Oryctolagus cuniculus: one gene and its partners. The protein of the gene in region 7 purifies or fractionates together with the protein of the main gene of each other region. This does not show direct contact. Links are inferred from orthologs where the notes say so. Each region holds a gene or a part of one and is shown on either strand. Other genes may lie near its edges. The genes, in order: SSR4, tubulin alpha-1A chain, MYO1B, SLC25A11, SLC25A22, MYO1C and LRRK2.

What was found.
Region 1: the proteins of LRRK2 (region 7) and SSR4 purify together in Homo sapiens (co-immunoprecipitation; 3 studies listed by IntAct, with this or other methods). This does not show direct contact. The link is inferred for Oryctolagus cuniculus from reciprocal best matches to the Homo sapiens genes LRRK2 and SSR4.
Region 2: the proteins of LRRK2 (region 7) and tubulin alpha-1A chain purify together in Homo sapiens (affinity purification with western blotting; 4 studies listed by BioGRID and IntAct, with this or other methods). This does not show direct contact. The link is inferred for Oryctolagus cuniculus from reciprocal best matches to the Homo sapiens genes LRRK2 and TUBA1A.
Region 3: the proteins of LRRK2 (region 7) and MYO1B purify together in Homo sapiens (affinity purification with mass spectrometry; 3 studies listed by BioGRID and IntAct, with this or other methods). This does not show direct contact. The link is inferred for Oryctolagus cuniculus from reciprocal best matches to the Homo sapiens genes LRRK2 and MYO1B.
Region 4: the proteins of LRRK2 (region 7) and SLC25A11 purify together in Homo sapiens (co-immunoprecipitation; 3 studies listed by IntAct, with this or other methods). This does not show direct contact. The link is inferred for Oryctolagus cuniculus from reciprocal best matches to the Homo sapiens genes LRRK2 and SLC25A11.
Region 5: the proteins of LRRK2 (region 7) and SLC25A22 purify together in Homo sapiens (co-immunoprecipitation; 3 studies listed by IntAct, with this or other methods). This does not show direct contact. The link is inferred for Oryctolagus cuniculus from reciprocal best matches to the Homo sapiens genes LRRK2 and SLC25A22.
Region 6: the proteins of LRRK2 (region 7) and MYO1C purify together in Homo sapiens (affinity purification with mass spectrometry; 3 studies listed by BioGRID and IntAct, with this or other methods). This does not show direct contact. The link is inferred for Oryctolagus cuniculus from reciprocal best matches to the Homo sapiens genes LRRK2 and MYO1C.

The regions. Positions count from the first base shown.
Region 1 is NC_091453.1:132,150,508-132,154,742, forward strand, and holds SSR4 (translocon-associated protein subunit delta precursor), read left to right. Parts: upstream 1-1,435; coding exon 1,436-1,502; intron 1,503-2,644; coding exon 2,645-2,763; intron 2,764-3,295; coding exon 3,296-3,370; intron 3,371-3,460; coding exon 3,461-3,550; intron 3,551-3,771; coding exon 3,772-3,837; intron 3,838-3,969; coding exon 3,970-4,074; downstream 4,075-4,235. Other genes in the region: IDH3G (isocitrate dehydrogenase [NAD] subunit gamma, mitochondrial), read right to left, coding at 967-1,047. UniProt on the Homo sapiens protein: TRAP proteins are part of a complex whose function is to bind calcium to the ER membrane and thereby regulate the retention of ER resident proteins.
Region 2 is NC_091442.1:52,629,035-52,633,188, forward strand, and holds the start of tubulin alpha-1A chain, read right to left. Parts: upstream 2,801-4,154; 5' UTR 2,574-2,800; coding exon 2,571-2,573; intron 2,033-2,570; exon of another isoform or gene 1,926-2,032; intron 832-1,925; coding exon 609-831; intron 469-608; coding exon 320-468; intron 13-319; coding exon 1-12. UniProt on the Homo sapiens protein: Tubulin is the major constituent of microtubules, a cylinder consisting of laterally associated linear protofilaments composed of alpha- and beta-tubulin heterodimers.
Region 3 is NC_091434.1:48,897,695-48,901,194, forward strand, and holds part of MYO1B (unconventional myosin-Ib), read right to left. Parts: intron 3,308-3,500; coding exon 3,214-3,307; intron 2,277-3,213; coding exon 2,127-2,276; intron 1-2,126. UniProt on the Homo sapiens protein: Motor protein that may participate in process critical to neuronal development and function such as cell migration, neurite outgrowth and vesicular transport.
Region 4 is NC_091448.1:51,302,300-51,306,383, reverse strand, and holds the start of SLC25A11 (mitochondrial 2-oxoglutarate/malate carrier protein), read right to left. Parts: upstream 2,801-4,084; 5' UTR 2,609-2,800; coding exon 2,514-2,608; intron 1,949-2,513; coding exon 1,796-1,948; intron 1,710-1,795; coding exon 1,503-1,709; intron 1,008-1,502; coding exon 917-1,007; intron 837-916; coding exon 746-836; intron 654-745; coding exon 554-653; intron 476-553; coding exon 424-475; intron 300-423; coding exon 144-299; 3' UTR 1-143. Other genes in the region: E3 ubiquitin-protein ligase RNF167, read left to right, coding at 3,626-3,709, 3,794-3,874. UniProt on the Homo sapiens protein: Catalyzes the transport of 2-oxoglutarate (alpha-oxoglutarate) across the inner mitochondrial membrane in an electroneutral exchange for malate.
Region 5 is NC_091432.1:325,871-329,970, forward strand, and holds the start of SLC25A22 (mitochondrial glutamate carrier 1), read right to left. Parts: upstream 2,801-4,100; 5' UTR 2,697-2,800; intron 1,265-2,696; 5' UTR 1,102-1,264; intron 462-1,101; 5' UTR 314-461; coding exon 294-313; intron 208-293; coding exon 82-207; intron 1-81. Other genes in the region: PIDD1 (p53-induced death domain-containing protein 1), read right to left, coding at 3,333-3,579, 3,679-3,878, 3,961-4,068. UniProt on the Homo sapiens protein: Mitochondrial glutamate/H(+) symporter. Responsible for the transport of glutamate from the cytosol into the mitochondrial matrix with the concomitant import of a proton. Plays a role in the control of glucose-stimulated insulin secretion.
Region 6 is NC_091448.1:47,036,011-47,040,179, forward strand, and holds the start of MYO1C (unconventional myosin-Ic), read right to left. Parts: upstream 2,801-4,169; 5' UTR 2,609-2,800; coding exon 2,534-2,608; intron 1,832-2,533; exon of another isoform or gene 1,694-1,831; intron 1-1,693.
Region 7 is NC_091440.1:131,827,533-131,831,032, reverse strand, and holds part of LRRK2 (leucine-rich repeat serine/threonine-protein kinase 2), read right to left. Parts: intron 2,780-3,500; coding exon 2,562-2,779; intron 1-2,561. UniProt on the Homo sapiens protein: Serine/threonine-protein kinase which phosphorylates a broad range of proteins involved in multiple processes such as neuronal plasticity, innate immunity, autophagy, and vesicle trafficking.

The DNA of each region.
Region 1 (4,235 bases), on a different chromosome or scaffold from region 7:
GTGGAAGACCTCTCTCCCTCTCTCTGCAGCTCTGAGTTTCCAATAAACGAGTTAAGTCTTAAAAAAGAGAAAGACCTCTGGAAAGACTGTCTGTGCTGCTGTCACTCCCTCAGGGAGCAGGGGGAAGTCAGCTTTTAAACAGACTCTCACAAAGCCTCAGGGCACGGGGGAGGGGCGGGGAGGTGCACAGCCGAGAGCGCTGTCTCCGGGGACTGTCAGCAAAGTCACAGACTTCCTGAAGGTCAAAGTTGACAACATGAAGTTTCTTCCCCTCAGTGGACAGAAAGAGGCGGCCACGTAGCGGGGCAGTGGGAGAGCAAGGCCTGCAGGTCATCTCTCTCATCTCCCAGGGCCAGGGCTGGCTCGCCGCTACAGAGCACGAGCTCTGGGGACAGGAAGCCACACTAAACAACCAAGCCCTCAAAAGCACCACCGAGGGATAGAAGCCCCCACCTCCATCCCCGCCCCCGCCAGGCGGTTCCGGAGGGCGTCCGGGGCCGACAGAGAGTGGGGGGTGGGGCACGGGGATGGGGGTTACTGGGAACGTCTGATTCTCCACCCCATCGGGACAGGTGGCGAAGCGCACTAGAAGGTAACCTGAGTAGCAAGTGAGTACGGGACGAGCCGGGATACTCCTGAATGTCTCGGGAGGACTCTCACAGACACTAGGGAGCCGCCGCAGCCCAACAGATACACACCCCTGGGAGAGACGGACCGAGCCAATCTCGGCCATTCCACAGCCGCATACTCACACCCACACTCCAAACACCTCCCGCCCTCTCCCCCGACGCACAGAGACAGCAGAAGCGGCCAATCAACCCTGGCCCTCTCCCTGCCTCTTAGCGGGGCCCGCATCCAATGGAACATCAGACCGTTTTAGGAGCCTCTAACCCGGCCCGGCCGTAAGGGTGTGCGAGGCCCCGCGTAGCGGACGCTGCTGCTGCGCCGTGGCCTGCTCCCCCTCACCTCCCAAGGACGGCTGAGGACGGCTGGCTTGAACACCGCCCTCGCGACGGCACCTGCAGTCGTCGTCAACTTCAGCGCCATGTTGGAAAATGAGAGCCGCGGCAGATTCCAACAGTTATGACATCGCTATCGCGAGAGTTCGGCGCTGGGCGAAATCCCCACGGCAGACGTGCGCCCGGCGCTGCGCATGCGCGCAGCCGCTCCGGTGGCCACGCCCCCTTCCGGTGCCTGGAGCGTCGCGGCTCCCGGCCGCGCTGCCGCTGCCGCTGCCGCCATCTTAGGGGGGGCGCGACAAGCTGGGCCCCTGGCTCGGGGAGGGGACACGTCAGTGCCCCTAGCGACGTCACGAAGCCTGGCCCGGCCCGCCGGAGCATGATTGGCTATCGCGGCCGCTTACGCGTCGCGCTTCCTCGTCTGCCCCTCGTGTTCAGGCGAGCTCGCTCTTTTTCGCGTCGGCAGAGAAGAGGCGATGGCGGCGATGGCATCTCTCGGCGCCCTGGCGCTGCTCCTGCTCTCCGGCCTGTCCTGCTGCTCAGGTAGCGGCCTGGCCGGAGTTTATTTCTGGCGAGCCTCTGTCCCACGGCAGGTGGTGCTGGGGGGAGGAAGGGTGCGGGCGAAGCGAGGGCAGGCCCTTCCCGGGGCTCGCTGTTGCAGACCGGGCCTTTCCCCGAGAGGTAGCCGGCGTCGCGGCGCAGCCACCAGTGGACCACACGCACGTTTGCCAAGCAGCCAGGCTGCGGGGAGAAACAGTCAAATCCTTCCGTCATCCGCTCGTGATAAAGAGCCGCAAAGCCTACACTGTGGGCCCCGGCTGTCAGCTCCAGCAGGGAAGGTGACACACGTCGCAGCCGTCGCCTGGCTTCAGAGGGGGGTCGGGCAGGATCCACCTCCGGCAGTGCGGAGCGGGCCAGGCTTCCCCAGCAGGCCAGAGAGCCGGAGTGTGGGGCTGAAACGGGCAGCAGGGGCCTTGAGTGCTTCCGAGCCCCGGGGCAGGGTCGAGGACAGCCTGGAGTCAGCCTGGAGTGTGGCTAAAAGGGAGTTGTTGCACATTCACGCTGGTGCCAGCCCGGCCCTCCCGACTGCCCGCACCTCTCTCACCCCGCAGTTCCCTGCCCTGTACCAGGGATGTCTGGCAAGAGACATAGCTGGCCGTGAACCCCTCGGGGGCTCCATAGGGAAAGGCCCAATGGAGCGGCAGGCAGAGAAGACTGGCCCCCAACTCACTGCCCCCGCACCCCCCCAACACACACCCCCTCCACCCCACGCCCCGGCATGTTCCTCCTGCCCGGAGCCAAAGCGCTGTCCGGCTTAGCGCACTTGAGCCATCTCTCTGCCTCCTGTCCGCCACCTCGGTGGCATCGTCCTTTCCCACGGGTCCTCAGGGCTGCTGGAGGCAGATGCCCTTCCCGTCCTCTGGACTGATCCTGGCCTGGACCCCGGGGCTCCCTGTCGTGGGTGCCAGCACTGAAGCGAGCCCCCTGCACACATTCGCCCCCCTTCCGCTGGCATGAGTCCTCACTGCAAAGCCCTCCCTGTTCCCCCAGCCTTCCCCCCCCCCTTGCCATCGCACTCGTGCCTGACCCCCGGCTGTGTGTCGCACACCTCCCGTGGCAGGGGCAGGAGGGCCCTTGTGCCCTGGCTCCAGCACGCCCACGCCGGCCTTGCCTCCTCCCTGCAGCAGAGGCGTGCGTGGAGCCCCAGATCACCCCTTCTTACTACACCACTTCTGACGCCGTGATTTCCACCGAGACCGTCTTCATCGTGGAGATCTCCCTCACGTGCAAGAACAGGGTCCAGGTGGGGCAGTGCGGCTTCCGCCAGGAGGACGGAGGGGCAAGAGGTGGGCGTGGCCAGGGGTGCTCCTCTTGGAACTCAGTTCCTGGGGAGCAGGAGGGGGCAGGGCACAGCAAGGCCCCTTTCCTACGGGCCTGCTCTGCTCTGGGTCTGCGCTGCGGGAGAGAGCGAGGCTCACGCCCAGCCTCGCCCTTCTGCTCTGGATGCCGCTTGCCAGAGAGAGAGAGTCTGGGTGTGCCGCAAGTTCGGGATTGCACAGGCCCGCGTTCCTAAAAGCCCCAAGCGGGGAGTAGGCCCTTTCTGAAGGGCAGCCCTCCTTGGGCAATGGTGGGGGTCTCCCTGGCGCCAGCACCCCCTCGCGGGTTCCGGGAACAGACTCGCTCCCAGAGGACACAGACCCAGAGAGACAGTGCCAGCAGGCGGTGGGTGTTGCTCTCCCAGCGTGGCTCCGGTTGTGCCAGCCTCACCTCTTCGGTGGTTGCATGGTGCTCCTGGCCAGAGAGAGGAGGTGACTCCCCTTTGTCTTCTCACCTAGAACATGGCTCTTTACGCTGATGTCAGTGGAAAACAGTTCCCTGTCACCCGGGGTCAGGACGTGGGGCGGTACCAGGTAAGCGACGGCAGATCTGCGTGCTCTCGGGGGCCCACTGAGTGTCGCTGTGTCACGGCCCCCTCACGTGCACCCTGCCCACCCGCCCAGGTGTCCTGGAGCCTGGACCACAAGAGCGCTCACGCGGGCACCTACGAGGTCAGGTTCTTTGACGAGGAGTCTTACAGCCTCCTGAGGAAGGTGAGGACTGCTCGGGACCTGTCGTCCTGCAGCTGCCCCTGCCCTGCTCACCCTGCTGTCCGCCCCGGCTGGCACTGGGCGGGGGCTCACCGGTGCAGGGCACAGCGACAGCCCCGTCCCGTGCTCCTGCACGCCTGTGCCACCTGCCCCTCGTCCCTTCCTCTCCTCCCCTCGTCACCCCGTTGGCCACCTCTGACCCCAGCCCCTGCCCTCCTTTGCAGGCGCAGAGAAATAATGAGGACATTTCCATCATCCCGCCCCTGTTCACAGTCAGTGTGGACCATCGGGTGAGTGGCCTGGCTCCTCGCTTGGGGGTGTGGGGTGAGGGAAGGTTCTGTGCTCTCTGCCTGCTGGGCCGTGATTGGCCAGTGAGTCTGTGCCCCCGAGGGAAGCTGAGCTGGCTTTGATCTTTCTTGTAGGGCACTTGGAACGGACCCTGGGTCTCCACGGAGGTGCTGGCCGCAGGCATTGGCTTAGTGATCTACTACCTGGCCTTCAGCGCAAAGACCCACATCCAGGCCTGAGAGTGGCAGGCCCCTCAGCCCTCCTTCCTTAGTGAATAAACAGTCACTGGGCGCTACGAGCGGCGCGTCCAGGACCCAGGGCTGCTGCCTTGTGTCGCTCTGCTTTTCCCACACGGTGCGATCTGGGGGCCAGCTCCTCGTCTGCCTGGACAGCAGAGGCA
Region 2 (4,154 bases), on a different chromosome or scaffold from region 7:
GCACTGGTCAGCCTGTTTAAAAGAGAGGAATAGAAAAGATTAAGTCTTTGTTGTCTGTGATACAATCATAGTAAATAGTCTCACTTTTCGTACATCTCTAAGAATTTAGATCTTACTTTAACAAATGCTTTTTAAAAAGCGAAGACCTTGGAATTACTCAACATTTCTTCATTTAAAAATTCTCAGTATTTACAAAATGATATCAGATAGTTCATGTTTTAATTGAATTTTTAAAAACCTTTTTTCAATTTCAATTCTGTTTCAACCAAACAGCATCCCTTAACTTACTAATGTACTTTATTGTTGAGAGGAAACATACCAGCTTGCGAATTCGGTCCAGGACGAGGTCAATGATCTCCTTGCCAATGGTGTAGTGCCCGCGGGCATAGTTATTGGCAGCATCTTCCTTGCCTGTGATGAGCTGCTCGGGGTGGAAGAGCTGGCGGTAGGTGCCGGTGCGAACTTCATCTGGAAGAGGGAAGCAGACCAGCCACCTGTCACTGACAGCCTGCAGGGCCCCGGGGTGCCAGTGGCTCCCCCCTCACAGAATTGTCCCAGACCTGTCCCAGCACCCGGGGCTCTCACTGAGGCCACGGAGGCCAACTCACCAATGACCGTAGGCTCCAGGTCTACAAACACGGCCCTGGGCACGTGCTTGCCAGCGCCCGTCTCACTGAAGAAGGTGTTGAAGGAGTCGTCTCCTCCCCCAATGGTCTTGTCACTTGGCATCTGGCCATCGGGCTGGATGCCGTGTTCCAGGCAGTAGAGCTCCCAGCAGGCATTGCCGATCTGGACACCAGCCTGGCCGACGTGGATGGAGATGCACTCACGCTGTGTGAGGGAAAGAGAAAAATATATATAAATTATTTTGTATTAGCATTTTGAATTTTCAGCAAATTTCTAAAAGTATTTCTAGTAATTAGATCTTCCTCAAATTTATTTGCAGTTTTATCCCTAATATGATAGAAACGATGAAAGAAAAGCACCTGCTACAAATACTGCAGATGGGTGTGGTCTGAATAATAATGTCGCCTTGGCACAGTTTAGCACATGGTGCAAGCCCATTGTTCACAGAGCCATGCTTGAATGGAAGATTTTTTTATGGCTTCAAAGCACAGATTTTGTAAAATGAAGTAAATTAAATTCAATCCAATCATGGATTGGAATTCATTTTACTGCTTTTTTCCCCCTTTAACTGGAGATTAGTTTCTTCTGCAGAGGACTTAGGATTCCAAGAGGCATCTGTACTGCAGCTGCAAGCCACACCCTTCTGCAGTCTGCCTGCAGGATCCATCAATACTAGGAGTTATTAGAAGCTAGACAAAAGTCTGCCTCTGCATTGCTGCACTGCCGTTATTTGCTGTGCCTGGCGCTAGCCTGTACTGTCTGCTACATTATTTAACAGAGCAAGCTCTATTTCCAGCAACTGCCTATATGATCTCATTGTGCTGTTTTGCTAGTTCTTCCCCTGACCCAGCCTGGGACCATGCTCCTGAATCGAAATGAATTAATGAAGACACCCTAGAACAAAAGACGGCTGGAGAGCAGAATGTAATTCTTTGTCTGCAGCAATTGTGTTACTTTAAGTTTTTACAGAATCGCCTCCACTGTAAAAAACTGAAAAATTGTTAGTATTTTTGAAACAACAGTTTGCGAGTTAGGAAGAAATGTTATATGAGAAGCTAGCAAAGAACAAAAGCCCAGTGAAAGGACAGTGAAATATGTATTTAAAGCAACAAAAAAGTGTTTTCTTTCTGAAATTCTTTACCCACCACATAAAATTCTTACTCCTCATCCCACAGAGATTGTCACTTTTAGGGCTGCAATTTTCATTGTCTGCTCCCTGGGGCGGGGGCGGGGCAGGCGTTCCCGACCGCAGCCCAGCAGGCACCCAGGGCGGACCCTGCGCCCCCCCACAGCCCGGCCCCGCAGCCCTCAAGGGCGTGGCCACGCTGGACCAGACTTTAAAGGGCTTGTGAATTGGGATTCTGGGCCTCGAGAAAACAATTTTTTTTCATCTGAGCTTTAGCAGGTAATGAAAACCCTTTTGAAGTCTTCAGTTCCGCGGTGATGCAAGGCTTTTATTCAAGGCTTCCCCGTGACCGCGGAGGCTGAGCGAGGGCGAACCCGGTCCGGCGGCTCCAACACCGGGGAAGCCAGAAACAAACAACCCCGCCCCTGCGCCGCCCCGGCCCCAGCCGCTAGTAGACGGCTGTCTCTCTAGAACGCAAGGGTCTTGCGCCAACCCGAGGCTTCCCTCGGTTCCCGTCCTCCTCTCCGCGCCCAGCTACACCCAGCGCCCCCGGGCTGCAGGTCCCCGGGGAGCCCCACGAGCGCGGAGCGCACGCCCCGCCCGGCTGCGGACCCTCCCGCCCCGCCGGAGGGGCAGCTGCGGCCCCGGGGAGTCCTCGGCGACAAACACTCCCTGGCGTCGCCTTTGTTCGTCCCGGCCGGGCCCTGGCTCCGCACTGCGGCAGCGGCAGGGCGTAGGGACCGAAAGCAAACAAAGCCACCCTGGACAAAAAAGGCTACAAAGGGCTCCCCGGGCCGCCTGGGGGGCCGGCGCTTACCATGGTTGCTGCTGCGCGCGGAGGCCGAGAGGGAGGCTGCTGCTTCTTACAGCGCGACTCTTAGGCGGTCGATGTAAGAGAACCTGCGGCTCGGGCGGTGGCGGCCGCCTATATACAGCCCGGTCGCCATGGGGATGGGCCGGGGCCTCTTCCTGTTGGTCCAGACCCCTCTCTCTGCCCGGAGAAGCCGCGGCAGAAGAGTGCTGATTGGTGCAGGCGACATGGGATGAGGTAATCGCTCCCCCACCCGTTTTCCCCCAGTATCCATAGACTGCATCCTTCAGACAAAGAGACCGAGCCAAAGCCGGCAGCCCAGCATCCATTACGGGGTGGGGCTCTCGGGAGGGGCGGAAGGGAAGAAAGAGGACTGCGGCTAGATCATTTTCTATCGCTTCAGTCTCAACCTGCAGCTAAAATCACCTAGGTACGGTTTCAATCGTAGCATTTGTGTTGAGATGGAATCTTCGTGAAGAATCGCCCCCTGACAGTACACTAAGCTACATTTGGTTACGAACCAGCATCTCGAATTGCTTTAAAAATAAAGTGGGAAAGACGGGAGCGATACTCAAAATGGTTTGAGTAAATATGCTTTCCCTTTCTCTCTTATTTTAATTAGAAAAGGACCCGGTAATACAGTCATCCAAAAAAAAAAAAAAAAGGCTCTGCAGGTTCAATTAATGTATTTTCATATCTTCTTTTGGGCACAGACACCCAAATAGCTCAACAAAATGGGTGATGGGAGGCATAGCCATACCGCATAAAAGAACACAAAAGGTTCTAGCATTGCAGTCGGTGAGAGCTAATGGACACATGAGGGTTAGCTGATGAGAGATACTCATTTGCCAAAAGACTCTGTAATATATTTTGTGAGATGTAGAAATGAATCATCGTTCCCAATACAGAATTGGGAAAACACAAGGAGAAAGAATTGACTGCAGAAACCGGTATCCCTTGTGTGTGCAATTATATTTCTGCATTGCTCGCCTTTTGGGAAAGTTACAAACAAAAAAGAGTAACCAAAACACTAAATTAAAAAGAAGACAAGAAAGATGTAGGATGCAAAAAGAGGACCACTTTGTATTGTTGCCTCCATCTGCAGGCAACTCTGCAGTCTCAGTTCAACCGCAGTCCATTTTTATATAGTGCTTATAAGAATGGGGTCCACACCCTCCTAACTGTGGGAACCTTAGCCGGCCTCACACCGCTGCTATTCAGCTGGAGACTGGTGGCTGCCCAGAGGCCTCTTGGGGACAAAAAAGGCTTTGCTTTCCCCCCTAGGAAATGGTTTGCTGCTCGGAACGGCTCCATTCTCATCAAGGATGGGCTATGCAAAATAGGTCTCCGGGCTGTGCACCTCTTGCCATTGTGGATGACATTTCAGAGGTAAAGAGATTTGTTTGACTATCAAAAATAGAAATTTCTGTTTTTCCTTTCAATTTCCAGCAACTGATTTTCGGGGGCTGCATTACTACAGCGCCCTGTGGAGCCCAGTCACTGCTGCGGGCTGGTGGGCAGAGCAGGGCGTGGGCAGCACTGCAGGTTGTGGGATGACAATGGCGGCTGTGGGACTGCGCTAGCCACACC
Region 3 (3,500 bases), on a different chromosome or scaffold from region 7:
TGAGACAGACAGACAGACAGACAGAGGGAGATCTTCAATCTATTGGTTCACTCTCCAAAAGGCCACACAGCCAGGGCTGGGCCAGGCCAGGCCAAAGCCAGGAGTCAAGAACTCTATTCAGGTCTCCCATGTGGCAGACACCCATGTACTGAGCTGGATTGCAAGTGGAGCACCCGCAACTCAAACCAGCACTCTGATATGGGATACTGGTGTCGCAGATGAAGGCTTAACGCACACAACACTGGCACCAAGGGACCCAATGACTTGAGTCATCCCCTGCTGCCTCCCAGGTTAAGCATTAGCAGGAAGCTAGAATTGGGGAGAGGAGCTGGGACTTGAAAGTAGGCACACCAGTATGGGAGGTGGGCATCCTAAGCTGCAGCCTAACTACTACACCAGATGCTTACCCTGCAATTCACTTATGTTTTTTTAAAGGTTTATTTATTTATTAGAAAGTCAGAATTACAGAGATTGACTGATTGATCTCCCTCCACTGGTTCACGCCCGTCACAATGGCTGGGGCTGGATCAGGCCAAAGCCAAGAGCCAAGAGCTTCTTCTAGGTCTCCTACATGTGTGCAGGAGCCCAGGGACTTAAACCATCTGCTGCTGCTGTCCCACGAGCAGCCAGGACTTGAACTGGCACCCAGATGGGAGGCAGGCATTGCAGACAGCAGCTCAACCCACTGTGCCACAGAGCTGGCCCATCCCTCAACACACTTTAAACTTGAATTTTCTGAATGGCCTCAAAAGAAAAAGTGCTAAGAAGGGCTCGTGGAGGACAGCTGTTTGCTGGCCCTTCCTTTCTTGGGCAAACAGAAAGCAGAGCACTCTGAATCCCGCACAAAGAGTTAAGCAGCCCTGCTGTGCACACAGAGAATCCGCCACCAGCATGCTGGTCACTCCCATACTTCAAGACTTGTGCTGTACTTGCACTCTTAACTACAGCAAGCAATTTTAAAGATTCTTTAAGGGCCGGCACTGTGGCTCAGCGAGTTAAGCTGCAGCCCCTGACTCTAGAGTCCCATATGGGCGCCTGTTCCAGCCCCGGCTGCTCCGCTTCCCATCCAGCTCCCTGCTAACGCACCTAGGGAAGCAGTGGAAGATGGCCCAAGTGCTTGGGCCCCTGCACCCATGTAAGAGACTTGGATGGAGTTCCTGGCTCCTGGCCTCAGCCTTGGCCATAGCAGCCATTTGGGGAGTGAACCAATAAATCTTTAAAAAAAAAATATTCTTAAGGATTAAGCTTACTCATTAGGTAAATTTTATTAACTAAAACTTGAAATAAAATGCTACAATATATTATGTGAGACTAAGTCAGCGTAAATTATGTCTTGACTGCATATTGCCTTGTAGCAAAAGCTCTCAGAGCCGAAAAAGAGAATTCACCAAAGGCGATTTGAGTGCAAATTTAATTAATTTTCCAAGTCACTCTATAGTAAAAAAGCATAGGATGAAAAAGCATTTGGAAGTAGTGTTCTTATCACTAAAACTCATACTGTGAGAACACAACCCAAGTTCCAGCTACCAAGAGACAAACTTTCACGCTTCTTGAAAACCTGTGGCTCACCTCCAACAAAACGTCTACAATCAAGGGAGAAAGAGCTTTAAAAAGAAATCCCATATTAATTAAGTCAACATAATTCAATCCTTTCTCCGAAGCCAGAATTCTGAAATACTGAAATACGGCCTTAGCTTCCGGGAATTAAAGCCGTTTTTAATGCTGCTATAATGGAAAACAGCTAATTATTTGGAAAATTAACCCAACTACAGTTGAAGGATTAGATGACATTGTCACTTCCTCTCGGATGACCAAATTAAGGATGTACTTTGACCACTCCCTACATCTAGATCTGTGGAAGGCAGTGTGGCACACACGCTAAACCTAAGCTCAGAAGTTGTCTCGGATTCAAATCCAAGCTCTGCCCCTCAAAGCTGTGCAGGCATGGGCTGTAAGCTCAGAGCCTGGGTTTATTAAAATAAATAAATAAATCAGTCCTAAGTGCATTCATCTCATGAGGTTGCTGGGAGAATTAACCACATACAAATTACACACAGAGTTAGAACACAATAAAGGTTGGCAACTTAGCCCCGTCAATTCAGGTTACAAATGCCTGCGCATCTCACCGCGTATCTCCTGTACCAGGCTGCAATCACAATTTGGCTTCTCTTCATGAGCAGGAAGTGGGTACGGCACTTCCACCCCCGATAAATCTTCTGAATCAGAGTGGCCAGGTCCTCGAGCCGTTGCTTCCTCAGGTCTTCTAATTTGAATAACTAGTAAGAAAACAGGGAGGGACTTACCAAAAGTCCTCCGAGACCTCACGGTACACGTGCAAGGGATCTTCAGGAGGGAAAACCACCACGATATCGGGCTCAACCACATTGAGGGGAAAAGCCGTCACGGTAACTACAGGTGATGTGGATGGACGTTCTGATGAACTGAGGGACGTGCCACACTCTTTACTCCAGTGATCCACAATTCATGACAAATCAGAGAAGGACTGACCGGAGCTTAAGACCATTTTTCACGTTGTCCATGAGGATGAAAATACGTACAGAGAATCCCTCATCTGAAATCTGCAGGTCTCAGATTTTTGGATTAGGGATGCTCAATCTGTAAATTCTATGTGAATATTCCAAAATCTAAAAAACTCTGGAATCTGAAACACTTCTGGTTTGGAGCAGTCTGCAGAAGGAATACTCAGTCTGTAGCGGAAAGCAGATGCTGGTGGATTTTCTCAAATTTCAACACTTTACAAATTCTGTAAATCTCAAATCACCAAATAAACTGCTATAGTAATGATGCTCTATAATCCATCTATCATTTATAAAATGGCTCCCTTGGAGTTCTATGCAGTGGAATTTGTAAAATGCTTTTTTAAGTTTAAAAATATTTTCAACTGTGTGCCTTCATATTATCTAAAAATAGTACTGCTGTAGTTTCTAAATTATGTATAATTCACATATTATGGACTGAATTTACCTCCAGTTGCCATGAATTAGGGAGGTTTTATTGTTTCATGATAGCTTAGGATTTCTTAAATGTCATCCAACTCAGCAGATGAAATACTTGGACTTTTCACAGCAAACGCAAGTCCCATTATCTCGGATGTTTGCAGATCACCACAAGAGGTGACATTTTGTGGCAGCATCTCAGGAAACGTCACAGACTTTAACCCAAGTTCAAAGTGTGAGGGTTCTGGTTACTTACTGTTCTCGGGTTTCGGATGAATATCTTTGATCGACCAAAGGAATATTCTTCCACCGGAATCTCCAACTCATTAAACAGAACCTCCACACCAGACCTATAAAAAAGCCAAAGTGAAAACAGTTTTCTGAGTTACAAAAACATCTTTATCCCGTTTCATATCATGATATCAGGTTCTCAGTAGCTTCATTTCCAGGGATAACTGCTTAACTGCTCTTTCAATAATCATCCTTCCAGAGATTTTCAAGATTGGATTCTACAAATTGAATTCAATCCAGTAAATACACACA
Region 4 (4,084 bases), on a different chromosome or scaffold from region 7:
AGCCCAAAGTCCTTTACCACCGAGGAGAAGACCACTCTGCGGAGGGGAAATAAATAGAGGGGCCCCGGGCGGCAGAGTCCAGGCCCTCCACCTCGCCGGGGCGCAGCCACTGCAGGGGCCGCCGGCTCCAGCCCCCAGCCACCTCAGCCACTAAGGAAGAGGCGCTTGTAGGCCTTGTTCATCTGCTCCAAGAAGATGAAGGTGAGGACCGTGTGGGGACCCAGGCGGGCGTAGTACGGCGTGAAGCCCTTCCACAGGCTGAAGAAGCCCTCGTAGCGCACGACCTTCACCAGCACGTCCTAGGAAGACAAGCAGGCGGGGCGCTGGGGCCAGGACCTGGCCTGTAGGGCCCTGTGCCCCTGACCCATGGCCCTCCCGGGGCATCCGAACACTCCAGCCCAAGCCCCAAGTCCTGCTCCTCACCAGCCCGTTTCTGTACTCTGGCTTCCCATCAATCATGCGCATGTTCTGGATCCTAAAAGAGAAGCAGCAGGGGCATGAGCCACAGAGAGGGGGTCCTCCAGCCCCTCACCAGGTCCGGGCCTGCACGCACCGGGTCTTGACAATGTCCACGGGCATGGAGGCGGCAGTGGTGACGAGGCCACTGATCATGCTGGCGCAGAAGTGGCACAGGATGTTGTCAGAGAAGTAGCCTGGAGGGAGAGAGCCGGGGGAAGGGGATGACCGTCAGCCTGGACGTGGCTCGGGTCAGGCTGGCGGCCACGGGTCCGGCTCTGGGTCTCACCTGAGTCCAGCAAAAACTGCTTGGACTGGGAGTAGGAGGCGAGCTGGGCAGCATTGACGACGACAGCCCGGGCCATGGTGGGGACACAGCCCTGGAGGTGGGGAGTGTGGACAGTCAGAAAGGCCGGAGGCCTGACCCCACACCCGCGAGGTCTCCAGCCCCTTCACTCACCCGCCACAGAGTGAGGACCCCCTCTTCCCGGACGATTCGAACCAAGGCATTAAACACATTTTTGTAGCCACGGCGCTGGTCAGCCGGAAGCCTGGTGGGAAGGCAAAGAGAGGACAGGATCAGCAAGGCCCACCTGGCCCCGTGGGAGCACTGGACTGGAAGCCTGAACAGGTGAGCGCTCTGTTCCAGATCTGGGGTTAAAAAGTGGTCATTTGGGGGCAGGCGTCAAGGTGCAACAGGTTAAGCTGCCGCCTGCAACTCCTCTATCAGCGCCGGTTCAAGTTGCAGCTGCTCCACTTCTGATGCCCCTAGGAAAAGCAGTGGAAGACGGCCCAAGCCCTGGGGGCCCTGCCCCAATGTGGGACACCCGGTGAAGCTCCTGGCTCTGGCCTGGCCCAGCCCTGGCCATTGCAGCCATCTGGGGAGTGAACCAGCAGATGGAAGCTCTTGCTCTCCCTATCTTTCTCTCTCTCTCTGTAACTCTGCCTTTCAAATAAATAAGTCTTAAAAAGAAAAAGAAAAGCAAGTCATTTCATTCTAGATCCCGGGGATCGGGGCTGAGGTCAGGCTCCGAGTTGGAACTCACCGGCCATCGGCAGTCATGCGGATCAGAGCCACCTCCGCTGGTGTTCCCACAAAAGCACCAGTTGCACCTGCGGTCATGCCAATCACAGCCTTTAGCAGAAAGCCAGGGGGTGTCCCATCAGCCCCAGTCAGGCGCTCAAACAGCACGGTATAGATGCCAAGACGAGTAGTGGTGTAGGTGGCCTGGCGCAGCAGGCCAGCTGACAGCCTGGAGAGCAGAGGGGTCAGTGTGTGGGGCCAAGGCTTGCATCTGCCAAACCCACACCCTCCCCCCAACCTTGGAGGCCCCAGTACCCGGTGTAAATGCCCCTTATCCCTTCCGCCTTCAGGATGCTGGTAAGGGCATGGAAGCTGGTTTTGTACTCTTTGGTCTTGGCACCTTCCCCGCTCAGCTGCATCCGGTTCTTCACCAGGTCCAGGGGCTGCACAAAAACCGTAGCTCCCATCCTGGAGGAAGGTGGGAGCAGGGTCAAGGGCCACGTGTGCAAGATCTCCCGCTGCCTACTGCAGCCTAGCACAAGGGGTTACTAAGGTCAGGGCCTGCCTCGGATTAGGGATTAAGGAGGGCTGGTAGGCATGTGTCTGACAGTCTCTGTGTGTACCAACAGCAGCGGGTTCTGGAAAGTCCATTGTCCATTAGGGGTCATGCAATGAAACTACTCCAAGCAGATCCACGGGAGTCCATCGGTGGGCCCGGTGGGCCGGGACCGCATGCAGTGCGACCCAGGGAGCGGGCCAAGGGCGTATCCACGACCTGGGGCACTAAGTAGTCCCCTAGAGTCATGGAACCCTAAACAGCCCTGCGGAACCAAGCAACGGACTGGGGAGGTGCGGGGTGGGGGATCGTGCCAAGACCCTGCATGCAGTCAGGGGCAGCCCATCAGGAACCTCCCAACACGCTGGGGATCGCGCTGACCCTCAAGCAGGCTCAGTTCACTGAAACAGTCCCAGAGATGAACCGGGCCCGTCCGTCCCTTCCTCCTCCTTTCCCATCCCTGGGGCCTGAGCTTACCCGGCCAGGCCCCCAAACAGGAACTTGACGGACTTAGGGGAGGTACGGGGCTTCCCGTCCATCCCGCCGGCCCCGGGACTCGCCGTCGCCGCCATCGCCACTCAATGGCCCTGGCTCCGGGTCCCGAGAGCGCGCGGCCCCGCTCGCGCCCAAGGTGACACCGCGCGCGCAACAGGGCGAGGGCGCGCGCGCACGCCCCTCCGGCTCCCAGGTCCAGCACCAGCTGCAAGCCGGCGCCCGCGCAGGCGCAAAGCGCAAAGGCCGCCGGGAGTAAGGCGACCCTGAAGGAGGAGCTTAAAGGCTGCGTGCGGGAAGGGGCGTGGCTTGGTTGGAAACTGGCGTATAGGCACAGTCTTCACCGACTTGGAATCGCGGGAAACTAGACAAGCTGTTCGAGGTCTCGCGAGATCTAGTCAGTCCGGCTCCCAGAGTTAGGAGGGCTCTCGCGATATGTAGAGCAAGCTTTCGGCAGCCGTGGGGGCGGGGGAGTGGGCTGGTAAGCCTTCTCGCGAGACTTGCAGGTGCGGCGGCAGCGGCGGCCACAGGGAGCGGAGAGGTTTGTAAACAGGGAAGCCCCAGGTTCCCGGGCACTAAGGGGGAAATGATTCGCTCTTCTTCTGGGGGGCAGCCGTGCGCCCTCCGTTTCCACAGACAATCCCTCCATCTCTAATTTTTCTCTTAACCGGCCTTTCAGGACCGGAAGTCCTTCATCTTGAGCGGCCAATGCTGGAAGCGGCCTGACTCTTTGTCGGAAACCTTTTTCCCAGGGATAGGAAGACGGCCCACCTGGCCGGAAGTCCCACCTCCCGGGGCTCCCCCACCCTTCCAGAAGTTTTGCTGTCACCTGTGTTTCCTTCCGTCCCCTCTCCCCGTTTTGTCCCCAATCCAGAAAAGGGTCCATTTAGAGTCTCCGACCCAGCTCCGCTAAACGGGCTTGGGGCCTCGCTCCCCGGGTCGGGGTTCCTTCCCCGGCGCCCCCATGTAGCTGGGAAGTGGGACCTGGGGGTGGTTGGACCCCTGGGATCCTGAGGGAGCGGCGGGGAGGGCGCAGAGCCCCGCTTCTGCTTCTGCTCCCGGGCCGCGGCCTCCTCGGCCTCTCCCCGCCCGCTGCCATGCACCGCGCGGCCTTCCCGCTTCCTGTGGTTGTGGCCGCCGTGCTGTGGGGAGCAGCCCCCATCCGGGGCCTCATCCGAGCGGTGAGTCTGTGGGGCGGGTGGAGGAAGGGCGCCGGAGGGGGGCGTTGCGGGCCGGAGGGGAACGTGGACGTTTTGTGCCCCCAGACCTCGGAGCACAATGCCAGCATGGACTTTGCAGACCTGCCAGCTCTGTTTGGGGCCTCCCTGAGCCAGGAGGGACTCCAGGTGATTGGCGTTCTTTTTTTTTTTTTTTTCCCCTCCCCTCTTTGTCCAAATCCTCCATCCTGGGCGGGGTTGAGGAGCCATGCCCCGGGTCTGGCTGGGGATAGTTAGAGTCCGGTTAGGATCGAAGTGCGTGAACATGCGTGGAATCCAGAATCTAGGGGAAGAAGACAGTGCCCACTCTCCACTCTGGGCTTACCCGGAGACTGCAAA
Region 5 (4,100 bases), on a different chromosome or scaffold from region 7:
GCCCCTGCCCTGCCCCAGGAGGGTTCTCCCTTTCCAAGAATGAGGGAGGGGCGGAGCTGCCCCCGGCCGCCGGGCACTCACATGCTGGAGTACATGCGCTGGCCATTCTGCTGGTTCTGCAGCCGCGTCTTGGCCAGGTCGATGGGGAACACGCAGGTGACCCCGATCAGGCCGGCGATGCCGCCGTTGATGAGCTTGGCGGGCAGGCTGTGTGGGCAGGGGGCCGTCAGGACTGCCCCCCGACCACAGATGGGGCCTGGGGCGGGGGGGGGGGGCTGGGGGTTGCTGCTGACCTGATCTGTTTCTCAGCCATTTAACTCCGGCACAGCCAGGCAGGAGCAGGAGACGCGGCGGGGGAGGGGAGGCGGTGTCGGTGGTGGCCAGAGGGTGGACGGGCGAGGGGGAGGTGCTGGCCTCCCACCTGCAGGGACTGTGTAGGTGCCTGCCGCTGCGCTTCTGTGCTGCAGGGGAGAGGGGCAGGCATAGAGCAGGGCCTGCAGAGGGGAGGCAGCGTCTGCCCCTCACCCCCGCCCCAGGCTGCAGCCACCAGCATGTCTACCCCCTCACCCCCACCCGTGTCCTCCCGGCTGGCCTCCCACACGCACACGCTGGCGCTCACGTGCACACGGGCTGAGCTCCAGCTTTTAAAGGGCCAGGCAGCTCTGGGGGACAGCGGCATGGGTCAGCGTGGCTGCCCGTGCACCTTGACCCCTGGACCGACCCGGTTGTGGTGACCGTCACCCCTACCCTGCCCTTGAGCAGACACGCTGGCATCGGCCTCTCCAGGATGGGGGCTGGCGCCCCAGAAACCCCACCAGCACCTGGCTCAGGGCTGCCAAGAGGGCCGTGGCCACTGGGACCTCCGGGGGCCTTGGAAGTGGGCAGCCGGGGGGGCTGGCCTGGGGCTCCCCATGGTTGCCCCCCATCCTCTGCAGGCAAGAAAGAAGGGGCGTCTCCCATCAGCGCAGGGCCAGAGCCAGCCTCAGGGGCTTCCCATGGAGGGCAGCCATCAGAAGTGAAATGGGGGGTCCTGGAGCCCTGGATCCTCTCCCGTGTCGCCCCCACCCCTGTCCCGTCGGGGGTCAGCTATCACAGACTCACCCCGCAGCCTGCTGCCCGGGGTCGCTCGCTGGCTCGCACCCAAGGTGCCTCCGAAAGCTTGCGCCTCTCCCCCCAGCCCCCGCGCTGAGGTGCCGGCGGCACTGGATCCTCCAGCACTCCAGAAAGCCGCCTCCCCTGGCAGATAAAGCCGGCAGCCGGGAGGCTGGGGGAGGAGGCGAGGGGGGCTCAGGGATTGGCCGAGGGGCGGGGTGGGGCGGGCCTGTGGGGGGGGCGACTTTCTCTTTCACTTTGGGCGAGCTGGGGCTAAGGGAAGAGGAGGTGGGACATTTCTCAGAGCCCAGCAGGGCCTGGGCCCTCAGGGATGGGGGAAGTGGTCCGGGGACCCACCGCCTCCCGCGGCTGGGGGTGTGGTAGCCGGGGGTCCTGTCTGTAGCTTTGGGCCGAGTGCAGCACCGCCTCCCAACCGGAACCTGTCCAGGGCCCCAGGACCGGGAGGGCGGTCTGTCCTGTGCCCCGGGGGGAGATGAGTCAGTGCCCACCCGTGCCTTTGTGTCCCTTAGGGGCAGGAGCACACAGGGTCAGTAGGGAAGACGGGGCTGGCTGAGTGTCACCGAGGCTCTCGCTCACCTGGCTCAGCCCCACCCAGGGCCTCCTGCCGACCTCTGAACTTCAACCTGATCTCTCCCTCCCCCCAGCCCCACCCAGCTCTTCCAGCTGCCCTGAGGCCTTCTAGGGCGAGGTCGGGCCCAGCCCTCAGGTCCCATCTGGGGTGGGGGCACCCACATGGCAGGGGCCAGTCCTCAGCAGAGCGAAGGAGGCTCTGTGCCCTGGGACGGGGAGCAAAGAGCAGCGTCCTGGACTCATCCCCCTCCTCCTGCCTCCACGGAGGCTCCCAGCCCTGCGGGAGAGACAGCTGTCACAGGCCCTCCAGGGACACCCACGTTGCCTCAGAAACCCAGCGGTCCTGGCCGGACCACAAAGGCCCCAGGGCTAAGCCAGCCCTCGCTGTCCACTCCCTCCCCGCTGGGTAAACCGAGGCCCCGGGCCGGCTGGGGACAGCAGCAGAGCCCGGGCCGGCGCTGCTTCTCCCGGGCCTGCAGGGTGAATTCTCCCACGGAGGAGGCTGCCGGCTCCTCCTACTCCCAAGAAAGGCAGTGGGGGGTGAGGCTCGGAGCCCGGGCTGGCCGCTGCCTCCCCATTCAATCGCTTTCTGTCCCGCGGCTGGAGAGGCTCGGACAGGGTCTTCCATGGCGCCGCGCCCCGAACGGCGGACAAAGGAGAAGCGGTCGGGGGCGCCCGCTGCCGGCTCAGGCCCTGCCGGGACTCCGGCCACGCACGTGTCCACACATGTCCGCGGGGGGGGGGGGGGGCCGCGAGCGCGCCCCTGGCCCGGCCGCTCCTGAGCTCAGGCGCCAGGCTCCCACCCTCGAGGACACGTGTGCACGGGGAGCGCGCCCGGCACCGCCGGGGCCGAGCACGGCCTCCCACACCCGGGCGACAGGGCGGCCGCAGCATCCGCCGGTTCCGGCCCTGCCACGGCCGCCCTGCGCCCTGGCCGGCCGCTGTCACCTCCCCGCGCCGAGGCGCCCCGGCCGCGCCCCAGTGGGCGCACGCGGCCGCCCCCGGGCACTCACCGCGCTCCGCCGAGCCGCGCCGCGCTCGCCTCCCCGCCGCGCCGCGCGCCCGCCAGCACCTAGGCGGGGAGGCGCGTCCGCTCGGCGCCGCGCGCGCTCCGCCCCCGGCCCCGGCCCCGGCCCCGGCCCGCACGCGGGCTTCGGCTCCCCCTCCCGGCCGCCGGGGCCACTGCGCCCGGCCGTGCCGCCGCCGCGCGCCCGCCGGCACCTGGGAGCCCGGAGTCGGGCCCTCAAGGCAGCGCTTCTTCAGGCCGAGGCCCCAGGGGCCGCGGGTGGGGGTGCTGTGGAAGGGGAGGGGGTCCCAATCCCAAGCCAGACACGTGGGCGCGCTTGGGGACCACTGGCCAAGCGGGCGGCCAGGGCAGGGACACACAGCTCAGCCACAGGGCAACTTTGTATCCGGTCGGCCACTGCGGGTACTTTGTAGCACAGGCTCCTCCGGCTCCCTGGGGAGATGCACGGCGCACAGAGCCCCTGCCCGGCCGCCACGGCCGCCCTCTCGGCACCCGGCCTCCCCCCTCCGCCCCACAAATGAACGGAGCTCCGGGAGGCAGATGGCACCATCTGTATTTGTTGCACACGCGACCACTGAGAGGCCGGGCGCTGGGGGCTCTGCCCAGCCCAAGCCGGCCAGGCCTAGGCCAGGGCCTGTGAGGCTGGAGGCCCCGGCAGCGGGGGGTCCTCGGGGGCCAGGCCTGTGCGCCGGATGCTGTCCTGGTACTTGCGGTGGCCGAGGTCCAAGACCGCGCGGACTTCTTCGGCCACGTCGCGCCGGTCACTCTGCTCCAGCGCCCTCACCAGCAGCCCCGCGGCCCCCGGCTGCCCGGCCTGGCGCTCGGCCCAGGAGAACAGCATGTGGCGGGTCTGCCCGTCCAGGTCATCCCTGGGAGGGGGCAGAGGCGCTGGCACCGTGCTCCCTGGGCCCCCGGCGGCGGCACCCTCCCTCCCCAGCCTGCGCCGGCCCCACCCCGCCTCCCCTCACCGGAAGTCGTGGCGGATGCGCTGCAGCTCCCCGTAGGGCAGGCCCAGGTGCAGGGCCACCGTGGGCCAGTCGGGCCCCAGGCGCCCGGCCACGCTCAGCAGGTTGGCCTGAGTCAGGAAGCCGTTCTCAGCGTCCCCCAGGTTCAGAGGTGCCAGGGAGAGGCTGGCCCCCTGCCCCCGCCCCTTGGGCGCCCGCAGTCTCTGTGGCAGGGAGAGTGTGCGGTGAGCCCCTAACGCCACTCCACACTCCGTCACCCCGGGCCAGCCCTGCCCCTGCCCTCACCGGCAGCTTGAGGGGCAGAGTGGCCATCCAGAGGGCGTCCGCACCCTTCCTCTGCCGGGCGGCCTCCTTGGGCACCTCCGTGGGCACCGAGCCCCGGTAGAAGGACACCTGGGAGATCAGGCGGGGTTCAGAGCTCCGGC
Region 6 (4,169 bases), on a different chromosome or scaffold from region 7:
CCTTGGGGAGGCTGTTTGCTGTGAGCGCAGGGGATGGAGAGGACCCAGCCCACGTGGGCCATCCATTGCCCTTTAGCTATTGTGGGTCAGGGGCCTGCGGGCCGGGCTGGGGGAGGGGCAGACAGCTGCTCCCCGCTCTGAGGCTCTGAGCGGAGGGCCTCCTGGGGCAGGGGAGACACAGCAGGTCTCACTGGCGGCGCAGTGCTACGCACAGTGCAGGTACTCAACTTATGTATATTTCTCAAACAAATCTTGGGCCTGGGACCAGGCTGCCCCACCAAGCACTGTTCTGGGCTTCACGGACCCTTGGGGAGTGGGGAGAAGATGGGGACTTGGGGGTCTACCCTGATGGTTCGCAGGGCCCAGTCAAGGGCTGTGCCCTCACTCCAGAACCAGGGGCCTTTGGCCAGCTAGACGTCTCTGCCTGGGGGCCAGCAAAAGCAAAAGAGCACTTGGCCTCCTACCCTGTTCTCCTGGCTGAGTCCTCTATGAAGAGGAGGCGGCACCTCCAGCTGGCCATCACGTGGGCACGGAGAGGCCTGCCCTGCCCCCTCCCCGCCCCACACCAAGCAGTCACCACCTGCTAAAACCTCTTTCTGCTTCTCCACCACTTCTCTCCTGGACCAGCACCGCAGCCCCTCACTCCGCACCCCGCCTTCCTCCTACCAGTCCACTTTCCACAGCAGGCTGTGCTATTTACAAATGCAGCGCCGCCCAGGAACATCTCCCGTGCGGAGAGTGAAGGTTGATAGGGCAGCCTGTATGCGCCAGGCCTGTGGTTCACACCCACTGCTGCTCTGCAGGCCCCACTGGTCTCAGTGTAACTCACTGCCCCTGCATTCCAGTCCCTACTCTCCCCAGGCCTCTACTAAGCCACACACAGCCAGGCGGGGCCGCGGTGCCTCTGCCAGCAGCCACACGTGGCTCTCTAAGCCTCCACGCCTTTGCACCTGCAGCTGCCCTGGCCCACCTCCCTGACTCTCAGTGGTCCTGGGAGACTCGGCTCAGGTATCAAGTTCTGCAGAACCCCTCCCTGCCTATCCCCAACACACAGCCCCCAGCTTATCGCTGGTCAGACTGCCCCAGGCGCACACCCTGCTAGGTACAGTGGGGGCTCCCAAACTCCTTCCTAGACTCCCGCATGAATCAATGAATGAACGAGTGAATGAATGACTCTCAGAGACAGGGAGGGTGAGCCGGCGGCCCGAGCTTGCCGGGAGCTGAATAAAGCGGGGAGCCACCGTTCCCTGTCTCATTCATCTCGGAGCCCCCACCCACCGCACGCGCGCGCAGAGGCACGCAAGGGGCCACCAGCGCTGCCGGGCCCTGGGGGCGGAGAACGGAAAGGGGCGGGTCTCCGGCGGCTTCTCCGGAACCCAGAGGCAGAGCAGGGCTGCGGGAGGGGCCCGAAAGAGCGCGCTAGGTGCCCAAACCCCAGTCGCTCTTCCCCGCCTTCAGGTTCCCCGCAAGTAATCCAAGTCCCACCAGGCCTGGTCCCCGCGCCTCCGGGACCTGGGGGGAATCCCACACGGGCCAGGTCGAGCTGATCCTGGTCCCAGCGTTCCCCCGCCGGCGACCCCCGCCTCCTGTACGGTATCCCCGAGCTGGCCGCCTGCCTTTTCCCGTAACCCGCCAGCCAGCAGAGGCCTCCCGGAGCTACGCGCCCGCTTCCCGCCCTGCCCAGCGTACCCACCGGCTCGGCTGTTGGGGTGCGCTGGCGGGGGCCGGGCTGGGCGGCGTGACCAGCTCGGGAGTCCGCGGCCCCGGCACGCTCTCCCCGCCCAGGGCCCGCCGGGGGCCGGGCCGCCGCCTGTCGTCATCCCGGGCAAGGCCCAGACTCCGGCGCGCGCGCGCGCCCTCCGGCCCCGCCCCGCCCCAGCCGGCCCAGGCTCCGGCCCCGGCCAGGGGAGACTTGTGCCCAGCGCGCTCCTTCACCGCTTCCCGGGACAAGGCGCGTCGTCGTAGTCGCGCGCGCGCGCGCACACACGCATCCGCCTCCCACCTAGGAAGCGGTCCACTCTGCAGAGTGGGTGGGTGGGCGCGCCCGTTGGGGGTTCTCCCTCCTCACCCCCAGAGTGAACCGGACTCTCCCTCCCTTGCCCGCCAGGCCAGAGCAGTTCTTCCCCAGGTCTGACTATCTCTCCCTTCACCCGCCTCTGCGCCCATGCTACTGCTCTGAGCCGGGAGACCTCAGTTCCTTGGCCAACGAGAAAGGAGGGGCATCAGCTGAGCCTGTACTATGCGCCTGGTGCTCTACGTGCACTAGTCCCTCGCCCTGAGTAGCTTGTCATGCCCAGGTCCCCGACCAGCAAGCTGGAGAAGCGACTGAAACCCTGATCTCCATTTTAGAAAGTGCTTCTACTGATCCTTAATCCCGCACACTCTATCCCTTCCTTTCCCCTTACGCCTTCTTGCCCCTTTGGTTTCTACGCCAGGACCCAAACCCTCGCAGCGCTCACCTCTTTCCTGAGGGGCTGCCAGGCCCTGGCTGGACAGTGCCACCCTTCCTCCCAGCCCAGAGCGCCCCACTTACAAGCTTGCAGGGCCTGTGGGGATGAACCACGCGGATGATCTCCCCCGTGGGGATCAGCTCCACTTGCAGCGCCATTCCGCCCTGTGGACAGCCAGAGTGCTGAGCCCCTGGGCTGAAGCTGCCTGCCCTGGCCGCTCCCGGAGCCAGGAATCTGTGGTTTCAGGCTGGGATGGCCACTTGGTTCTGCTTCAATTCCGGCCCCAGGGGATGTGGCTGGTCCAGCTCCTCAGGACACAGCTGGAGCAGCCCAGGTCTGATTGGAAGGCCTCTTGGCCCGCAGGGCTGGGGCAGGAAGAGGAGGAGCTGAGGGGTGGAGGAAATGCCTCTTGTCCCAGGTAGCCAGGGGAGCTGAGGCAGTCACCCGTGGGGGGGACCCTGGGCTCCAGGCCATAGGTAAGAAGGCAGCCCTGTGGCTGGACTTCTCCCCGCTGCCCACTCTCTGGTATCAGCAGAGGGCACAGTGGCCACTCCCCAAAGCAGAAGGCACAGCCTCCCCTGAGCCAAGAGGATCTTTCAAAAGGCGCTGTCCCTCTTGATTGTCCCTGTAGCTTGGCTGCCTGAGGGCAGCAGGTAGCCCCTTGCATTTGAGGAGCCAGGGCTGCTGATGGATGGCCATACTGGGCAGAGGGATCGTTAGGAGAGGCAGGGGGCACTGTGGGGAGGTCCCCACCCTCCCCTCCTCTGGAGCCGCGAATGCCTGGAAGACTCACTGCTGAGTTCCTTAGGTGTGCACCACCTCACACCCTGTTCTTGCCTCACTTTTCAGCGGTCCCCTCAGGTACCCCCACCCCCGCAGTGTTCCTGTTTTTCCATCTTTCTTGTTGCTAAATCATAGCTGACACTTTCCTGGCCTGGGCCTGAGCCCTCCAGTCTCCAGCCATTCCTCATAGGAAGTGAGGACGGGGAAGTGGTTGGGGAAACAGGCTGGCACGGGAGGGGCTGCCGCCCAGGGGGCCTGTGCAGCCAGCCAGGGGCCCTCTCCTCCCTCCCCAGTGTCCCCCGCCCAGGAAAGGCCGGCAAGGCTTCCTTCCTTCCTCCGGGAAGCACATCTATCCAGGGCAGCTCATCCCTGGCGGCCACACAATGGCTTCTTATCAGCCGTGGAGCCAGGCACAGAGACCCAGCGCACACCAAGTCTCACATATTTCCTGTTTCCACCCAGCGGGTCAGGGGTGGGCCCAGAGCGGCCATATCCTGACTGGGGCCAAGAGGAGGGAGAGTGTTCCCCTTTCCCCTTCCGCCTCTCAATCTCTGCTGAACTCCCCTCCCAGGCAAGGAGGCGGGGGAAGGAGTGTGTGAAGACATCCACGTGGGGAGAGGTGAGCTGGAGAAAACGGGGACCCCTGGAGTCAGGAAGCCCCAGATCCAGCCCCAGGGTCACGTTAACAAAAACGGAGAGGGGAGAGGTGGGTGCAGTGTCTGTTTCAGGCTGGCAGCTGCCCTCTCATGGGGATCCTGTGAATGGCACGTGGTTTGTTTTTTGTAGACAACGGGGCTGCCCACGGGGGTTCTGTATTGCTGGTCCGCCATGAAGCCACCACGGCTGCGTGGGAAGCCAGGGAGGGATCCACCACCTCTCTGAGCCCCAGGATCCCTGTCTGCCAGATGAAGGGTGCTAGGTGGCAGCACCCATGAT
Region 7 (3,500 bases):
CCGGCCTGATTGGAAGGAAGACAGAGCAAAGAAGCAGAGGGCAACACAGTGAACTTTCCCCTGGGACCTGGGTAATGGGAAGGATTTAAGCAGGCGAACGAGAGACAAAAGACGCCTCTTGGACGTGCGTGGAGATAAATGTAAGCTTCAGGGGTATATACTCAAAGCTCTCACAACACTGGTTTAAAAGCATCTCAAAACGTGGGGTGGCTGCTCCTTGGGAAACCTCCATCCTATACTGGAGTGTCTGCGATCAAACTCTGGCTCCACTCCCGATTCCAGCTTCCTGCTAATGTGTACCTTGAAGGAGCAGGTGATGGCTCACGTACTTGAATCCCTCATTCTCAGCGAGAAGACCAGGCTGAGTTCCTGGCTCCTGGCTTTGGCTCTGGCCCAGGCCCTGGAGACTGAATCACTGCATAAAAGCTGGCTCACTCGCTCCCACTCTCTGTCCCTTCTTCACTCTGTTTTTCTGTCTCTCTCTCTTTGTATCTGCCTTTCAAATAAAACAAAAATAAGTAAATAAAAATAAAAGAAGAAAGAGAAATGCATTTGCAGTAAGATTCATTTTAAAAAGACTGGTATTATTCTTTAACAAACTTTGCAATTCAATCCAAGAAATCAGCTTAGTAATTTAAATGTTTGTATTAATTTAATTTGCCGTATCATCTTTGGCTTTGAAAACGTCTGACCCATAATACAAAGAAGAGAAAGTCCATATTCAGAGGACTATGCTATCAACAAACTGCTATACTTTAATTCTCTCAAGATTAGAAGTTTGAGCAGACAATTAATTCCTAAGTTACATATAACTTTTTATTTTATTCATTCACACACATACACTGTTCCTATCTGTTGGCTGATTGCTGTAAATGCAAACAACAAATAGGCTGAAGGCAGGGACTGAGAACTCAATGAAGATCTCCTATTTGGGTAGCAGCAACCCAATCACTTGAGCCATGACTGTTGCCTTCCAGGGTCTACGTTAGCAGGAAGCTGAAGTCAGGAGCTAGCGCTGGGTACTGAACCTGGCATTCCAACATAGCACACATGCATCTTAACCTCCAGGATAAACGCCCACTCCAAGTTACACACAATTTCAACCCCTCTCCCCCCAAAAAGTCCTCATGATCAGGGCCAGTGTTTTGTCACAGCACATTAAGCCACCACTTGCAGCATTGGCATTCCAGTACTGGTTGTTTGACTTCCAGTCAAGTTCCCTGCTAACATATCTGGGAAAGCAGTGAAAGATGACCTAGGTCCCTGGGCCCCTGAACCCACATGGGAGACCCAGATGAAGCTCCTAGCTCCTCAGTAGGGCCTGGCCCAGCCCTGGTTGTTATGGCCATTTGGGGAGTGAACCAGTAGATGCAAACTCTCTGTCTCCTTCTTTCTCGCTCCCTTTCTCCTGTAACTGAGTCTTTCAAATAAATAAGTAAATCTTTAAAACACAAAGTCATCATGGTCAGTTAGCTGAGCCTCTCAATTTACAGTGGAGGAAATGAAGGCTCAGAACAGGCAGATAGCTGGCCGGCGCCGCAGCTCACTAGGCTAATCCTCCGCCTAGCGGCGCCGGCACACCGGGTTCTAGTCCCGGTTGGGGCGCCGGATTCTGTCCTGGTTGCCCCTCTTCCAGGCCAGCTCTCTGCTATGGCCAGGGAGTGCAGTGGAGGATGGCCCAGGTGCTTGGGCCCTGCACCCCATGGGAGACCAGGAAAAGCACCTGGCTCCTGGCTCCTGCCATCGGATCAGTGCGGTGCGCCGGCTGCGGCGGCCATTGAGGGTGAACCAACGGCAAAGGAAGACCTTTCTCTCTGTCTCACTCTCTCACTGTCCACTCTGCCTGTCAAAAAATAAAAAAAGAGTTATTTAAAAAAAAAAAAAAAACAGGCAGATAGCAGTTCTCATGGTCACACAGCTACTACCAAACCAGGTTAAACTCTCGTCTCCCTAAAATACTTTAAAAGCTTCAGTTATCTGGACTCAAACCGACTATATGGAGCCATCAGCAGGCAGCTCTGACAGATGCTGACACATACCCTGTGTTACCGAGACAGAACCTAGAATTGCATTTTAACCCAGTCTCTGTCTCCACTGCTTGCTCTCAAAGGGGTCTCTGCACACCACCCAGACTGATACCCATGTGGACAGCAGAGGAACAGGGGGCGTCCTGTGCAATGACACAGGAGGAGACTGGAAGACCTGACGGTGCCGGGCTCCTCCAGCATTGGGAGTCGGGCTGGGGGCGTGGAAGACTGGACGGTGCCGGGCTCCTCCAGCATTGGGAGTCCGGCTGGGGGTGTGGAAGACTGGACGGTGCAAGCCTCCTCCAGCACTGGGAGTCCGGCTGGGGGGCGTGGAAGACTGGACGGTGCTGGGCTCCTCCAGCACTGGGAGTCGGGCAGGGGACGTGGAAGACTGGATGGTGCCGGGCTCCTCCAGCACTGGGAGTTGGGCGGGGGGTGTGGAAGACTGGACGGTGCTGGGCTCCTCCAGCACTGGGAGTCAGGCGGGGGGCGTGCAAGCCTCCTCCAGCACTGGGAGTCGGGCGGGGGGCGTACCTCGCAGAGTGGCTGTGGGAAGCTGACCAGTGCATTCTGCTGCAGCTCTAGCCTCTCCAGGTGCTCCAAGTGGCCACTCAGGCAGCCCCTGCGGCTCAGGGCATCGACCTCCCTGAGTTCATTCGCTGATAGGTCTAAGGAGGTGATGTACTCCCTCTCCGAAGCCAGGGAGGACACGCTGTCTGACTGCCTCGCGTGGGACTGCAGTTTGGTCGACCCTGTATCAAGAAACAGCAGAAACGTGAGCAAAGGGCTTGAATCCATTAGGGCAAGGTGTCCTGAACACCTCCCGGTGGCAATCTCTCCTCCAGGCACTGGAGCTTCAGCAGAAAATGCATTTGGGGGGCCGGCGCCGTGGCTCACTAGGCTAATCCTCCGCCTTGCGGCACCGGCACACCGGGTTCTAGTCCCGGTCGGGGCACCGGATTCTGTCCCAGTTGCCCCTCTTCTAGGCCAGCTCTCTGCTGTGGCCAGGGAGTGCAGTGGAGGATGGCCCAAGTGCTTGGGCCCTGCACCCCATGGGAGACCAGGATAAGTACCTGGCTCCTGCCATCGGATCAGCGCGGTGTGCCGGCTGCAGCACGCTGGCTGCGGCAGCCATTGGAGGGTGAACCAACGGCAAAAGGAAGACCTTTCTCTCTGTCTCTTTCACTATCCACTCTGCCTTTCAAAAAAAAAAAAAAAGAAAGAAAGAAAAGAAAATGCATTTGAGGGCATGCGTCTAGCACCAGAAATGCATAATAAATTTAAAAAATTGAATTGGCTGGTGCAATGAAAAACAACAACAATCAAGAATATAAGGCAAAGGAGAGGCACTGCAGGCACTACCTGCAGCTCAGACAATTCACAGCAAAGATAAAAATGCCTGCTGGCATGTATAAGAGGTCCATGTTTAACCTATAACTAAATCTCATTTTCTGTAGCCTGTGGAGTCACTAG